Rattus norvegicus: one gene and its partner. The protein of the gene in region 1 purifies or fractionates together with the protein of each later gene. This does not show direct contact. Links are inferred from orthologs where the notes say so. Each region holds a gene or a part of one and is shown on either strand. Other genes may lie near its edges.

Region 1 (7,773 bases):
AGGAGAACCTGGGAAGGGAGCAGGAATGAGTGACTGGTGAGAGGGCAGGACTGAAGAGAGGAAGTGACTCAGCCATCGATCAGAGAGGGAATTCCAGTTAGGTAAGCTCATCTGTGATAGTATAGCTTGGAGAACTCATTATCTAAGAGTTCTAGAGACTCACTTCAGTATTCTCAGGAGTAGTGGGCAGGAAACATGTTAACAGTGTAAAACATCATCTCAACAGGGGAGAAAACTGTATTTTTTTATTGGATATTTTTTATTTACATTTCAAATGTTACCCCCCCCCCCGCCCATAACCCCCCTATCCCATCCCCTCCCCCTACTATATTTTCTGTTCGTTTGTTGACACAGGGTTTCCTTGTTTAACAGTTCTGGCTATTCTGGAACTTGCTTTGTAGACCACGCTGGCCTCAAACTCAGAGATCTCCACTTAAGACAGACAACAGAAGAGCAACAGTTTTCTCTTTGCAGGGTAGGTGGCGGCAACCTTACCTTGAGCTGAAGTGAAAGATATAAATGTGCATCTTGCTTTTGTTTTTTTAAGATGCTGTCAGTGTTCTCAACCGCTGAGCCATCTCTCCAGCCTGCATCTTGCTATTTTGATATAATCACCATCCAAGTGGGCTTCAGGCCCCTAAAGAAACCTCCTTGTGTGTTTGTAAAAAGGTCCTGAGGATGTGTGTGTCTCTGAGCTTCCTGTGTGTTCTCCCTCAAGGAATGGGAATGCTTGAACCAGCTGTATGCCGATTGTCAGTGAGGAAACAGTATTTAGATAACAACACTCTTTCTTCTTATTAAAAAAAAAAGATTTATTTATTTAATGTATGTGAGCACACCATTGCCCCCTTCAGACACACCTGAAAGGGCTCTGCATCCCATTACAGATGGTTGTGAGCCACCATGTGGTTGCTGGGAATTGAGCTCAGGACCCCTATAAGAGGAGTCAGTGCTTTAAACCACTGAGCCACCTCTCCAGCCCCATTTCTTCATATTAATAAAGACCACATTCCATATGGTCTTACTTCCATATAAATATGGTAGTAAGAATAAGTGTAATAGATCTAACCAGTTCTTCACAAAATATAACAACACAGCAGACATGACAAAATAAAATCTATTTCTTTTTGTCTCTGAAGTTACATCCTGAGTGGTCATTTATGTGCTCCAAAGTGAAAAATTTTTAGGCTTTCATAGTGAAAATAAAGGTTTAAAAATACAACCAACTTTATGTATTTCCTGTATAGCTGTAAATACTGTGTATATTTCTTTTCAATTGCTGTTAAATATTGCTTTTATCTTATTGTATTACCAAATGGTTATTAGTTTTCTTTTTCTTTCCTTTTTTGACTTTCCCAGACAGGGTTTCTGTGTTGTCCTGGAACTTTGTAGACCAAGCTGGCCTGAAACTCAGGGGGCAGGCTGTCTACCTCTGTTTCCCAGGTGCTAGGATTAAAGACATGGATCACCAATCCTGGCAGCCAGGTTGTTAGTTCTATTTACTTTAAAAACTTATGAGTTTATGAGGATAATTCCTGTGAAACCAAGCACACAAAAATGCATACTACAGTACTTAAAAACTGACATTTTATGTACGTATTTCACCCTAAAACCATTTAATGATGAAGACATCGTTGTGTTGATTTAATTTTAAGTTCTATTCACAAGACTTTTATTTTGTTTCGATCAAAATTTCTGCCACTAATGACAATATCTGCGTTCAATCACTTCTAAACATCAGTCTCTTTGAAAGTTACCGTTTGCCATCTAACCCGCTATTCTCAAGATTCAAGATATCACTACTTCTCCCAGTAAACAAATGAAGCAATAGCTCAAACTCCCTCAAACACAGGCTATCTTAGAATAATAAAGACTTAAGACAAGTTAGAACTGGCGGCCAGGAGCACCGAAGTGGGACCAAAGAAGCAGGTCGCGACGAAGCCCAGGAACCAGTGAGAACGTCCGCAAGAATCTGGGCTATTTGCCAAAAGTAAACGTCTCCCGAATCTTGCAGACTGACTGGTGCCACGAAACCAGAGGTCAAGTGAGTGACAGGCAGAGAAAGAGGCCCGACGCTTTGGGACTGAGCAAAACACGCAAAGAATTCCAGAGAAACGTCAGGAATTCCAGGGCGGTACGAAGGCCGGCTTGAACCCAGCTCCGAAGCCGAGGCACTTGGCCGAGACCCACGCTGCTCCTAAGGATGTGTGCGTGAAGAAAACGACCCGGAAGCCCGACGCCCACGCCTTCCCCAAAGTCACCACTGCATCCCGTTTCCACGGGTGTGGAAAAGCTGGGGCCCGGCCCCCGAGTGGGGGCGGAACCCAGTCTTTCCCCGCCCCGAAGAGCAGTTCATCCTTAGTGCGCCTGCGTAGGGTGAGGCCGGACTCTATTTGGTTATCCGGAGTGCAGCTGCCGCGGCGTTCGCTACCCAGCATGCTGTGCGCGAGCGGCGGCCCTACGTCCCTCCTCATCCGTCCCTACCCCCCTCCTGTCGCGGCCCCCCTTTCCCCAAAGTGAGTGAGTGAGACGGGCAGATGGAGGAGGGACTGTAATGGCGGCGGCCGGCAGCTCCCTGCTCTGATCCGCGGCAAGCACACCGCAGCGACCCCCTCCCCGGCCCTCTCCCGGCCGGACCCCCGCCCTGCCGTCAGCGCGGGGCCACCGTCCCGGCCCTCTCCGCAGCTGTCGGTGTCTCGCTCTGCGCCCCAACCGGGGCCCCACACACAATGGACGAGCTGGCCGGAGGCGGCGGCGGCCAGGGGATGGCGGTCCCTCCCCGACCGCAGCAGGGACCCGGGGGGAACCTGAGCCTTCCGCCGGGAGCGAACGGAGCGCCGGGCGGTGGGGGTCCTCCGGCCGCCGAGACGGCGGGGCCCCCGGCAGGCCCCGAGCTGTCCCGGCCGCAACAGTACACTATTCCGGGAATACTGCACTACATCCAGCACGAGTGGGCTCGGTTCGAGATGGAGCGGGCGCACTGGGAGGTGGAACGGGCCGAACTGCAGGTACCTCACCCGAGTCGACTGAGGGCTGTGACCCGGGTACGGGCCGGGGGGTGGGGCCGGGGCTGAGGTTCGTGCCCTAAGGGGCGGAGGGGACCTACCTGAGCGGCTCCGGCTGGCGAGCGGTGACGGCGCTCCGGGCCCCCCCACCCCTGCTCCCGCAGCGGCCGGCTCCCTCCTCACGGGCTGCGCGCTGCGGGCATCCTTGGGGCAGCCATTTTGGCTTTTAGCATGGCGTCCGTAGAGCTCCTCCCGAGGCACCTATTGGGCCTCCGGGTTTGGGCCCAGCGCCTCTGAGCGAGAGTCTGGCGTAAGCCCGCTGGGCACTGAGTTTGCGCTTGTTAGCCCTCTTGAGGGTGAGAACTCGCGGAGAGGGCCTGGGATGAGTGTCTTGTCTCCTGGCTCCCGCACCCTCTTCCGATGTGGCGTCCAGCCCCCTCCCCCGCGCCTCGGTACGCACTTGCCCCTTGACAGCCACGCCGCTTCGGGCTAAGGCCGCGCACAATGGCTTGCGGCCGACAAGCGAAGTTTGCCTTCCCCTCCTCTACTCTTTTAAGAACCCAGGATGCCACTTGGATTTCCTTTAGCGCTTTTAATGATTCATTAACTTTAACTGAATATTTCTCTTTTGAGTTGGCTTCACTAGACGTCCCTTCTATATTCATGCTTTTACTGATAGAAAGCAAAACTGGGCTTATCTGTACTGTATTTATGAAATGTCTGCGGAAAGAATTAGCTTTAATTTGGAGTAGAACGTACTTACTTTGGTATACGCTAAAAGGGAGCTAAATGTCCACTTAATGTGATCCTCTGACAGACTTGAGTTATCCTAACTTTTGGAAGGTGGCAATTGCGGGTTCATGCCTTGAATTTTTTAAATTGCTCCATCTGTTTGAAAGGATTATTCAAGCTGTAGGATAGTTAGTTCCATTTAGTTTTAATTTCCTTTCCAGGGTATAATTTAAGCTTAGAAGAAAAAAAGTATGCATCTAAATGTTGCACCTGTTTTTCAGACGTAAATTTCGACATAAGAAATATCATTCGTTATTATACACACAAAGAACTCCTTTGGTGAATTTAGGAAAAAGTAATGTTGAAACAACAGCTTGATTATTAAATGTAGAAAAGGTATCCTCAAATAAATGTTAATCTTCAGTTTGGTTTCGAATAGTAAACCTTTTAATTGCATAGATTAATTTATTTCTGACTCTGATTGTTTACAAACAATATAAACAATTTTATTCAAAACTTAAAAATACCCAGGTGTAGTGACACAAATCTTTAATCCCATGGGTCTGGGAGATGAGGTTTGATATCCGTGAGTTCAGGCTAGCCTGGTTTATATAGAGAGTTCAAGGACAGTCACGGCTACATAGAGTCCATCTTAAACAAACAAAAAAGTAAAAGAAAATTAAAAATAACGGTCTTTCGCTGCCAAAAGCATTGCAAAACAATTGATTGAACCAGTAAACCTTTTTGGTTATGGGCTTTTGTTATTGTTGTTTTGTTTTTTGAAACTGGGTTTCTCTGTGTACCTTTGGCTGTTCTGGAAGTAAGTCTGTAAACCAGGCTGGCCTCGAACTCAAGAGATCCAGCTACCTCTGCCTCCTGAGTGCTGGGATCAAAGGCATGTGCCCTCACCAACTAGTGTTGTGGTTTTGAGAGATGGTCTCCTGTTCTTGGGCCATCTGGAACTCACTGTGTAAAACAGGCTTAGAGGTCCACATGCTACTTCTTTAAGTGTTGGAATTGTAAAAGCTTGCACCACCTCACCTGGCAAACCAGTAAACTTTTATTTAACTCCACAAAGTGGAAAAAAAGTCCACAAAGTGGGTGAAGTTAAATTTTAAAGCAACAAAATACTACCTTCTTTATCTGACACCTTTAGTTGATTTGGTAGTCTTTGGTAGTGCTTAAAAAATACATTTGTGCTTTAGAGATTACAACTTTCAACATCTTATGTCAAAATTGCCTGTGGTCTCTTTTAAATTTGTAGAGTCTACTTTAATATTCTTGGATTTAGAGTTTTGTGGGCATATAACTTTCTAGTATGTTGTGATACCGACTTTTCCATGTGGGTAGAGTGAGGTTAAACTATTAAAAAATTGCATTGAGGCTTTTGCTGAATTGATAAACCACCAGATACTTATGTAGTTTTTGATCCTTGTACTGTTGGTTTGATTTTCAAATTAGCAATTGAATTTGTCACTGAGACTAGCTAGCTAAGAAAGCATCTTGTGTCCAAATTAACAAGTTTTACATTATTGAAATAATTGGTTTTCTTCCATTTCCTTTTCATTCTTCATGAGCTTAACAGTAACAGAAAAGGATTTTTAAGGATTCTGTAGCTTGGTTTCTTTCAGATTGATAGTCTTTGTTTACTTTCCTTTTTTTCTTTTAAAAAATTTCATTGTAATTATGTGTGTGTATATGCATGTGCACATGAGTTCGGGTGCTCAAAGACCAGAGATGTTGGGTTCCTCTGGAGCTGGAGTTGAAGGTGTTGTGAGCCTCCTTGCTGTGGGTGCTGGGGATGGGACCCAGGTACTCTGGAAGATGGGCCATTTCTCCAGCCTGTTACTTGGTTTAAAGAATGTTATATGATGTTCTCTGCTTCTATTTTATTCAGAGATGTTTTCATTATTTTATACTGATACTTTTGGAATAAAATGTTCATGATTGAATTGTTTATATGCACTTGTGTATGCTGTATATTTTTAAAACATTTTTTTGGGTTAATTAATAGCATTTCAGATTTGTTTCTAGAATATTGAATGTTCTTTAAGTGCTGTCACTCTGTGTGTGCATGTGTTGGGGGGAGCAGGACTGTTTAGAAAAAGCTGCCTGGACCTTGGTAGGCTCACACTGGCCTTGAATGCTGTTAGTCTTTAATTAAAACTGCTGTGAGTACATACTTAAAAGTTTAGTGTTAGGGGGTGGATGGGGAGGAGAACAGCCATATAGAATGGGAGGGGCAAGGGTTAGGGGGATGTTGTCCTGGAAACTGGGAAAGGTAATAACATTTGAAATGGGTTGGGGATTTAGCTCAGTGGTAGAGCGCTTACCTAGCAAGCATAAGGCCCTGGGTTCGGTCCCCAGCTCTGAGAGAAAAAAAAAAAAAAGAAAAAAGATGGAAGAAAAAAAGTTTAGTGTTGAATGTATGTGTAAAAAGTGTATGTGTTGTATTTAAGCTGTAAGATTAAAATTATTTCTGTTAACTTTCTTAAAAACAAGACTTCTATTTCTTATATGTAGTTCTGAATGCACTACATATACACTTTTTTTTTTTTTTTGAGACTATCTTGTAATGTCGCCTAGGCTAGACCTTAACTCCTGGGTTTAAGTGATTCTCTGCTTCAGCCTTCTAGGTATCGGGGACTAAGATGGGAACTCACACTTTTTGGCTGTGTTGGAGATTGGTTTGTGACCTCCCATAGCACACACACAGATGGAGGTCAGAGGACAACTTGTGGGAGTCAGCTTTCACTTCTCACTGTCAGAGTCCTGAGGACATAGCTCAGGCTGTCAGGCTTTGGCAAGCTTCTTTACCCCTCAGCCATCTCTATTAGTACAATTAAAAAAAAAAATTCTCTGGCACTTAACCTGTTATCATCTGTCTGTGGTCTTGTCCCTTATAAATATCACATACACAAGTCCCACCCCTCCCCCTTCGTGATTGACCTTCAAATTTCCAAGTCTTGTGACTTTATACATTGTATTGGGCTCAAACTACACTTTCTGCTGTTAACTATTTCTTCCCCCAATCCTTTCCTTTTAGGGCTTTGATCCCAGAACTGGGGAGGCAAAATCAGGTGGACCTCTCTTGAGTTCTAGGCCAACCAGAGGTTTATAGTGAGACTGTCTCAAACAATGGACTCTTTCTTTGGCTTCCATTCATTCCTTATTTCATTTTCTCTGTTTCATCTCCTTTTTTTTTTTTTTTTTTTTTTTTTTTTTGAGACAGATCTTAACTATGCATTCCTGGTTGGTGTGGTGCTCAACTGTGTAGCTTAGGATAGCCTCAACTAATGGCAATCTTCGTGCCTTACCTTTTTTAGTAAAAGGAATAGTCTAGGGCATCTCCATTGCTGACCACTTCTTGTAATATATTCTTTTTTTGTTGTTGTTGTAGTCTGAGGTTCTAATTGTTTTGTGCTTTCACTGTATTTTACTAAAAGCAAAAATAAAAATTTTATTACATCTTGGTTATTTTCTGTGTGCTGATGTGCATGTGGGCATGTGCATGGGCACAGCATATGTTTGGAGGTTAGAGGACCATGTGAACCTAGGTTCTGAATTTAGGTCAGCAGGCATTGTACTTGATAGATGCCTATATGAGCCACCTCCAGTGCCATAATCCAATTAAGTTCCTATTACCATCTTAGTAGTACCCAGATTTACATTTGTTATCTAATGCAGGTTTGTGAGGTTAGTGGAATTTAAACTTTCTGAAATACTGAGGCCCACACAGAGTTTAAGTAATGTGCTCAAATATGTATTTAGAGACAGCAGAAAGCAGAGCTGGGATTTAAACCCAGGACCATGCTTTTAGCTTCCACACTTATTTGTGAGGCGAATGTGATAACCACTACACTACGGAAACTTCCACACTTATTTGTAAATTTCCTCTTTAACTTTTCTATATCAAATTCAACTGTTCATCTCTTCAGCTGGTTGTGTATCCTATTCTCCCTATAACCACACTAAACCTGTTCCATTAATGTAATTATATTTGTATTTAGCCATTGAGTCCTTCCCAATGTCTTGA
Region 2 (7,816 bases), on another chromosome or scaffold:
CAGTGCCCAGCTAAAAACGGACTATGTGCTAACAGGAGCCAGCAGTAACAGGAAGGGAAGGAAACCAGAGACTCAGGGAGTGTGCAAGTGATCAAAGTGCATCATATGCCTGTATAATAAAGAAATCAGGGACTGGAGAGGTGGCTCAGGGGTTAATAACACCGAATGCTCTTCCAGAGGTCCTGAGTTCAACTCCCAGCAACCACATGATGGCTCACAGCCATCTGTAATGGGATCCGATGCCCTCTGCTGGTGTGTCTGAGACATACAGTGTACTCATATACATAAATAAATCATTAAAAAAAAAAAAAGAAGAAAATCAACAAGTCTGTTGAACTAAAACATGCCAGTAAAATGAAAGCAAGCAGAAGCACGAAGGGAACAATTGTAACTTTCTTAGGTTGGCACCACTCACCTCTCCATGTTTCTCCTCTTGGCTCTGCGCAGAGCTACGATGCCTTCTTTCGCGAGGGCATCTAAAGAGAAGGGGTCAATCCCCTGCATAGAAACAAACATTCTTCAATCGCTGTCACCTTAAAAGTAAGTGAGACTCATTCATAATTTTAAGTTCTTACCTTTTGATTAATAACGACAAATCCTTTATCTGAATCACCACAGACTTTCTTCTTCAGTTCTACGATTTTTTTAACTCTATCTTCAATGAATTTTCTTTCAGCCTTTACTAGTTTCTCTCTCTCTTCTGCACTCTTGTAAAAAAACCCAGAATTCACTTCTCTATTTAAAAAAAAAAAAAAAGAGAAGAGATCTCCATGTTATATGAGCTTTTTAAGGGCCCTGTATTAGGCTCTAAAAAGCAAGTGCTGCACCAGTGGGCTCCACATCACCGAGCCCCCATGTCTCATTACTGTCTGTACTGTAATGAGATGTGCGGACGGTAATGAGACAAACACTAACTTCCTCCCACCCAAAGGGGCCACACTCACGTCTTCTCATACTCCAAGGACACGTTGCATGTGAGGATGTAGGCATTTTCTACTCTTTTCTTCATATCAGGATGCCGTGCTCCATGATCCAAAACAAGCCCTCTGATTAAGCTATAAAACAGAAAATTTATCCCACTTCTGTTAGCAAACAGAGACGGGAAAGTGACACATAATAAAGTAAAATCAAGTAATTCCTACAGTGCTAATTTTTATACAGGTCCACTAGCTTCTAAAGTCGTTCAATAACTTTTCAGTTAAACCTAAGGTCAAATGTGAAAAAGGAATGCTCTAAGACACAAGACAGGCCACCTAGGCAAAAACAAGCTTGCAAGTCTACAACTAGCAGGCTATCCAACTGTGATCACTTCAACTCCTTAAAGAAATGTTTTCAGGGCTGGAGAGATGGCTCAGAGTTTAAGAGTACTGGCCATTCTTCCAGAGGTCCCGAGTTCAATTCCCAACAACCACATGGTGGCTCACAACCATATATAATGGGATCTCATGCCCTTTTTTGGCATGCAGGCATATACACAGATACAGCACTCATACATGTGCACTGTAGTCAAGCGTATCAATACATGTTCACATTTCAAATCACACCGACCACAAACACAGCACAGCCTTCCCTCATCCCCACAGTGCATACTACTTAGAGTAAATGCCATACTCAGCAACCTATCCAGTATGAACATGTCTCAGGACTGGGGGCTGGGGGGAAGCCCGCAGCTCAGTGGTAGAAAGCACTTCAAAGCATTCTCTTGCCTACCTTGTATCAGTTTCAGATTTATGCTTCATCTCCATGATCTCAACCATGAAGAGGTCAATGGGCTCATCTTTTTTCCTAATGGCCAAAATGGAGTCCACCACAGCCTATGAGATAACCATTAATAAATTTAATGTGCAGAGCCTGACACACTTTATTTAGCTGTTGTTCAGAAGAGTGGAAAAGGCTTAAGAAAATTGTCTCTGAAACCCCACAAGTGCTATTTTATGGTGGCACAGGTCCCCAATCTCAGCCCTACAATTCATACTGTATTGTGGACTAGCAGACCAGTTCCCCAAAGTATGACTAGAGACATTTTGGAGGAGTGTCAATTCTTCCTAAGCCTGGCCTGTTACTAACTCCATCTTTCCAAGCTGAAGACAGATTAGATCATTACTGCCCAGGGAAAACCCTAACCCCTTCCTCTACACAGACTTTCTGTGAAAAGCCTACACATGCACGCTTAGAACAGGTTTTTACATCAGACTTTCCCCATGCATTGCACCACACGAGGCCGATACACACCTCTGTCAAGACATCTGCAAGCTCAGCATGAACTTTAGTCCGCAGAGATGTCCTGGCCACATCGATGAGTGTTTCTCTGTCCATCTCTTTGCTTACTTTGACTTGTTCCAAAAACTGGAGTGCCTTTTCCTTTGCAGCTTCAAAGCCTTCGGTTATTATTCTGGGATGGAGACCCTATAATCCAAACAGCTATAAAGCCAGTGCCAACACCTGCATCTTCAACAGGATACCACTGAAACCCAGTCAGTCAGTAATCTCAAGGGACACCCTGGGGCCCTCCTATTCACTACAATTAAGATGGTGTGCTGATTTTCTGAATACATTTAAAAGGACACAGTACTCCTTTCAATGCAGAGGAAAAGAACAGACTTTACTCTAGCACAGAGTCAAGGCCAAGGGAACTACAGAGCACACTTGGGTGTTCACTGTGCAATCCACGAACTCAAAACTGGCTCCTAACATTTTGCTGTAAGAGCTTGCTTCTCTTGTCTACAGGTAATCTGAAACTAATTCACATCATTTTGAAATATTTTTAAAAAGAAACCAGAGTAGGCTAGTCCATTAAAAATATGTAATCATTACTTAGAGGTGATTTTTTCCCATTCATTTCAGACCAGTGACAGACAGGCAGAGGCTCTCTGAGCTAAGCAGCTCAACCGTTCTACGGTGTGCCCTCAGCTAGCATCACATCAATTAGCACCATTAGCCCACCAAACAACAAGCAGAAACTCAGAAACATGAATCATTGTGTACTTCAGAAATGTAGAGGTCCGCTTGTTTGAGCAGCTCTCCGATGATGAGGACATTGGATGTAGTGCCATCGCCGGTTATGTCATCCTGCGCTGTAGCCACTTTTGCTATCAAAGAGGCTGTTGGGTGTTGAATTTGCTGCAGGTAGAAAAAGAACTACTTAAATGACTTATGGTTACCTAGGGTAAAACATAAGAAAGGCTTCTTTTACAGCGTCCCACTCAAGATTGCACAGCATGGCTACATTTTGGTTGGATGTTCAAGACATTCCCTTTACTGGGATGTGAACTACAGGACCTGAAAGTTCTGGTGAGGGAAATGGGTAATTGGGTCAATTTAATATGATCCCAGGGACAAAAATAACAACTCTAAGGTAGCCTGGTGTGAGGCGCACAGCTTTAATCCCAGCATTCAGGGAAAGAAAGTAGGTAATCACTGAGGCTTACACAGTGAGACTCATCTCAAACAAAGTAAGGAGATTTTTCATTTCTCCTGCAGTTGAGTAAAAAGATGATCATTCATTTTTGCTTTTCTTTCCCACTGCCCTGTTTTTGCATATGTAGCTCTGTCTGGCTTTGAATCCTGAGATCTAGTTGAGTACTGGGATTAAAGCTGTGTTACAAGATTTAGCTAAAGCAGACATAGCGATCTTTTATACAATTATTGTTATTATTTTTTTTTTAGCCCAGACTATACAAAGTAGGCCAAAACCAAAACAAAATACCAAGGACCCAAACACACATTTGAGACTCTACAGAGTTCCTCACCCACTACAGCACTTCCTATATTTCTGCTTGAAACGTACGATGAAGAATTTTATCCAGAAGGAACAGGTCAAAAGTTTTTTTTTTTTTTTAATACCTAGCACGGCAGCTTCTTACCATTTCATGAAGTAGCACATTGCCATCTTTAGTAAGTTTGATGTCTCCAGCACCAGATACAAGCCTGTCAAACGGGCAGGGATTGATGAGCAAGAATGTGACTTTCCAATAAAAAAGCAAGTAAGAATTCCACAAAGCAGCCAAGGGGTGATGTATATCACCCAACCCTCTCTTAAAGTCATGCAAATCTCTGGGAGTTCCAGACAAACCATAACTTATCAGTCAGACTCTACCTCGACTAATTACATAATGAAAAGACCCACGAAAGCGAAAGAGGAGTAAAGGGGACAAAAGGAGGCTATGAAATAGGACTCCAAAGCAGGCGTAATTTGAGGAACGGATACGAGAGGCGTGACTAAGAGTATACTTAAAAATCCAAGCGCTACGTCTCAGGGAACTTCACTAATTTGCTGGCTAATAAGGTAACAAAAACAGATCCTCCTGAAATTTGGGTCTTATTCCTACATCCTAGTAAACTCGGGGGGGCTGGGTTCAGGAAGGGTGCACACGCCATCCTCTTCCTCCAAAAGAAGTGGGTGCAACCCGCAACCCCGAAAGGCGCGAATCCGGGTGGTTTGGATGGGATGCAGCACAAACATTGTAGAAAATGCTAGTGCGAAGGCCTGGAGGCAGCGACTGGAGTTTGCGGCCATTGACCCGCCAGGCCCTCCCGCCCGCCAGCCCGGGCTTACATCTTCATGGTGCCTTTAGGGCCCAAGTTGGTCCTCAGAACATCCTGCAGGCCCCGTGCCGCGCTGATGTTCACCGCCAGCGCTGCCTGCGCCCGGGCCACCTCGGCTTTGGGATTTAGGGTCTTCACCGCCGCCATGGCTGGTCGAGCTCAGGGAGAGGCCGAGAACAACGTGCTCTATGCGGGTCTTCTCGAAAAGTCTTACGCATCTGGCCCGCCCCCAGCGTGCCCACAGAGCACCTCCATTGGATTGTGGCTCTCTTGGTGCCCGCTGATTGGCTTATCCTGACGCTGGTCTCTCTGGGCCCGCCCACACGCCAAGTCGCGACGTCATTGCGCATCCGAGAAACTTGTTCTCCGGTAATCCGCACTCCGAATTCTAAGGTTCCGTTGTGCTCGCCTCACAACGTTGCGGTTCCGCGCTTTAAGGATTACGGCGTGGCGGTTGCGCGGCCAGTTTTGCAGGAAAAGCACTACTGCTCGTGTGTGAGGGATGCTTCGACCTCGGCACTCGACTGGGCGTGACAGGAAGCAGAGGTGTCGGCCTCTATTTGCGGGGTGTCTCTAGCTACTGGACTCCGGGATGCTTCCCTCACACTCTCGCGAGGTTTCCCAGGTTCATTTGTCTTGCCTATTTTTATCCGTGAATGTGGGAACACAGAAAATGGACCCTTCCCCTCTACCCTGGTCATTTAAAAATCCCGGAGTTTGACGGGAGCATTATTGCTAGGCAGAAAGTACTAGATGGCTTTAGGAGTGGTGCGATGGGCGTTGAGGAGCCTCAAGAATCAGTCTATTCTTAGGGCCCAGGTCATTGAGGCAGTTTTGTTTTCTTAATTTTTAAAAATATGAAACAAAGATTCACTCTGTGTCCCGGCTAGACAGCTCACTGTCTAGCTTCGGACTCGTAGCAATCCTCCTGCCTCAACCTCCAACGTGTTATGAACTAAGCCTGCTAAAAACTCAAATATGGCTGGACAGTGGTACCCAGTCTTTGAAAGCATTCCTTTAAACATTAAAAAACAAAAACAAAAACAAAACCAACTAAGCGTATAGATGTTTCCCCTGCCAGTATGTCTGGGCACTTAGGTATAGATACGATACGTGCTGAATTTTTTTGAGTCACTTCTCCACACAGATGACAACTCATAATGCCGTTGGATGTATTCTACTGAGCTATACTGAAGGTTTTGCCATTTTGATAGGAATAAGAAATTCTCATTCCCCTCAACATCTGTGTGATACTCATTACAGAAACGATACATAGCCAGGCGTAGTGTCATATGCTTTTAATCCCAGAACATGGGAGGCAAGCAGATCTCTGTGCCTTCAAGGCCAGCCTGGTGTGCATAGCAAGTTCCAGGCCAACCATGGCTACGTAGTGAGACCCTGTCCAAAGAAAACAGAAGGTTTAGCAGGTGTATAGGTTCGAAATACAGAAAATTTAAAAAGGAAAAAGAACTAACCAGTCATCGGACTGACATTCCCAAACCTCTTGCTATTCTGGCTACACTAAGTATAATGTTTAAAGTAGCTTTGGAGATTTGAGAGATCGCAAAAGCTGTGCATATGATATTTGGCATGCAGAAGACTCGTGTTTACGTTTGTAGACCACTTGGCAGTTTCATCATCACTGCTGGTAAAACAAGGCAGAGGGAGACTGCAGAGTCAGTCGTCTGCTTACAAAGTAGAGAACAGGGCAAGAAAATGTTGGATCGAGTTGGAAAACTCAAGACTGCCCAGGAAAACTCGGTGCTGACACTGGAGATAATATAATATTCCCTAAAACATTAGCGAAGCGTATATTGGAGCTGCTTTTTCTTTGTTTGTGGCTTGTTTTCATTTTGAGACGAGGTCTCACTATGCAGACAAGGTTAGCCTTGAACTCCTGATCCTCCTGCCTCTACCTACCTCCTATTTATTTGTTTGTTTATTTCATGTGCATAGCCATTCTGTCTGTGTGTATATCTGCGTACCAGAAGAGGCCTCCTAGGGCTATAGTTGTGAGTTGTCATGTTAGGTGCTGAGTGTGGTACACAGGACCTGTGGAAGAGCAGCCTGTGCTCTTAACCGCTGTGCCCCCCGCTCGATCGATCTGCCTACCTCCTAAATGCAGGCAGTACAGGCATGCACCACTAGACCCACCATTTTGGGTGGGAGCTTAACCTCTGAACTATGTATGTCCCAGTGACTGTCATTCTCAACAGGGGATATCAGAACGTCACCACATCTGACTAGACTGGTTTTGTTTGTTTTTTCGTTCGTTTTGTTTTTTTGAGACATGTTTTTTCTGTGTAGCCTTGTCTGCCCTGGAACTTAGTCTGTATATCAGACTGGCCTCGAACTCAGAGATCCACCTGCCTTAGCCTTCTGAGTGCTGTAAAAGTGAGTGCCACTACATGGCTTGGTTTTTTTTTTTGTTTGTTTGTTTGTTTGTTTTTTGGTTGTTGTTTTTGTTTTTTGTTTTGTTTTGTTTTTACAGTGGCCTAATTCACTAAATGACTACATTATAATTTATTTCACCAATTTCCCATTGGGTCAAATTTATTCTGATATTTTGCAACTAAAAATTTCTGTGACATTTCACATACATGCTGGGATGCCTGTAAGATACATTTGAGATATGTGATTATTACATTCTTTGATCTACCCCCAACAACTGCTTTCCCATCTTTTTAAAGAGTTTTGTGGTTGTTTGAGACAGAATCTCAAAAAGGTTTTATTACACTCATTTGTGTGTGTATAGGTGTTTGCATCTATGCCAGAGTATATTTAGAGAGGTCAGAGGACTACTGTGTGTGTGTGTGTGTGTGTGTGTGTGTGTGTGTGTGTGTGTGTGTGTTTTCCTATGGAGCCCTGGCTATTCTGGTACTTGCTGTAGATCTGGCTGGCTTCAAACTCACAGAGATCCACTTGCCACCACCTCCTGGACCATGTGGGTCCTTGGGATCAGATTCAGGCCACCAGGCCTGGAAGCAAGCACCTTGACCATTGAGCCCATCATTTCCAGACAGGGGTCTCATGGAGCCAAAACTGGCCTCAAACTCACTGGTTGAAGATGACCTAAAGTCCTGATCCTCCTGCCCACTCAAGAACTGGGATTTGCTTGACCACCACACCTTTAATCAGCACTCAGGAAACAGAGGCAGGTAGATCTCCAAATTTGAGGCTAACCTGGTCAGTCTACAAATCAAGTTCCAGGACAGCCAGGGACATCAAATCAGAGATACACAGAGAACCTGGTCTAAAAAAAAAATTAAAA

Evidence for each region. The genes of interacting proteins can lie anywhere in the genome.
Region 2: the proteins of Strn3 (region 1) and Cct6a purify together in Homo sapiens (affinity purification with mass spectrometry; 3 studies listed by BioGRID and IntAct, with this or other methods). This does not show direct contact. The link is inferred for Rattus norvegicus from reciprocal best matches to the Homo sapiens genes STRN3 and CCT6A.

The regions. Positions count from the first base shown.
Region 1 is NC_086024.1:74,864,214-74,871,986, reverse strand, and holds the start of Strn3 (striatin-3), read left to right. Parts: upstream 1-2,513; 5' UTR 2,514-2,729; coding exon 2,730-3,008; intron 3,009-3,106; exon of another isoform or gene 3,107-7,773. UniProt on the Homo sapiens protein: Calmodulin-binding scaffolding protein which is the center of the striatin-interacting phosphatase and kinase (STRIPAK) complexes.
Region 2 is NC_086030.1:32,514,363-32,522,178, forward strand, and holds the start of Cct6a (T-complex protein 1 subunit zeta), read right to left. Parts: upstream 4,711-7,816; 5' UTR 4,693-4,710; coding exon 4,556-4,692; intron 3,928-4,555; coding exon 3,864-3,927; intron 3,121-3,863; coding exon 2,986-3,120; intron 2,666-2,985; exon of another isoform or gene 2,531-2,665; intron 2,407-2,530; coding exon 2,233-2,406; intron 1,815-2,232; coding exon 1,711-1,814; intron 1,056-1,710; coding exon 945-1,055; intron 736-944; coding exon 576-735; intron 499-575; coding exon 416-498; intron 1-415. UniProt on the Homo sapiens protein: Component of the chaperonin-containing T-complex (TRiC), a molecular chaperone complex that assists the folding of actin, tubulin and other proteins upon ATP hydrolysis.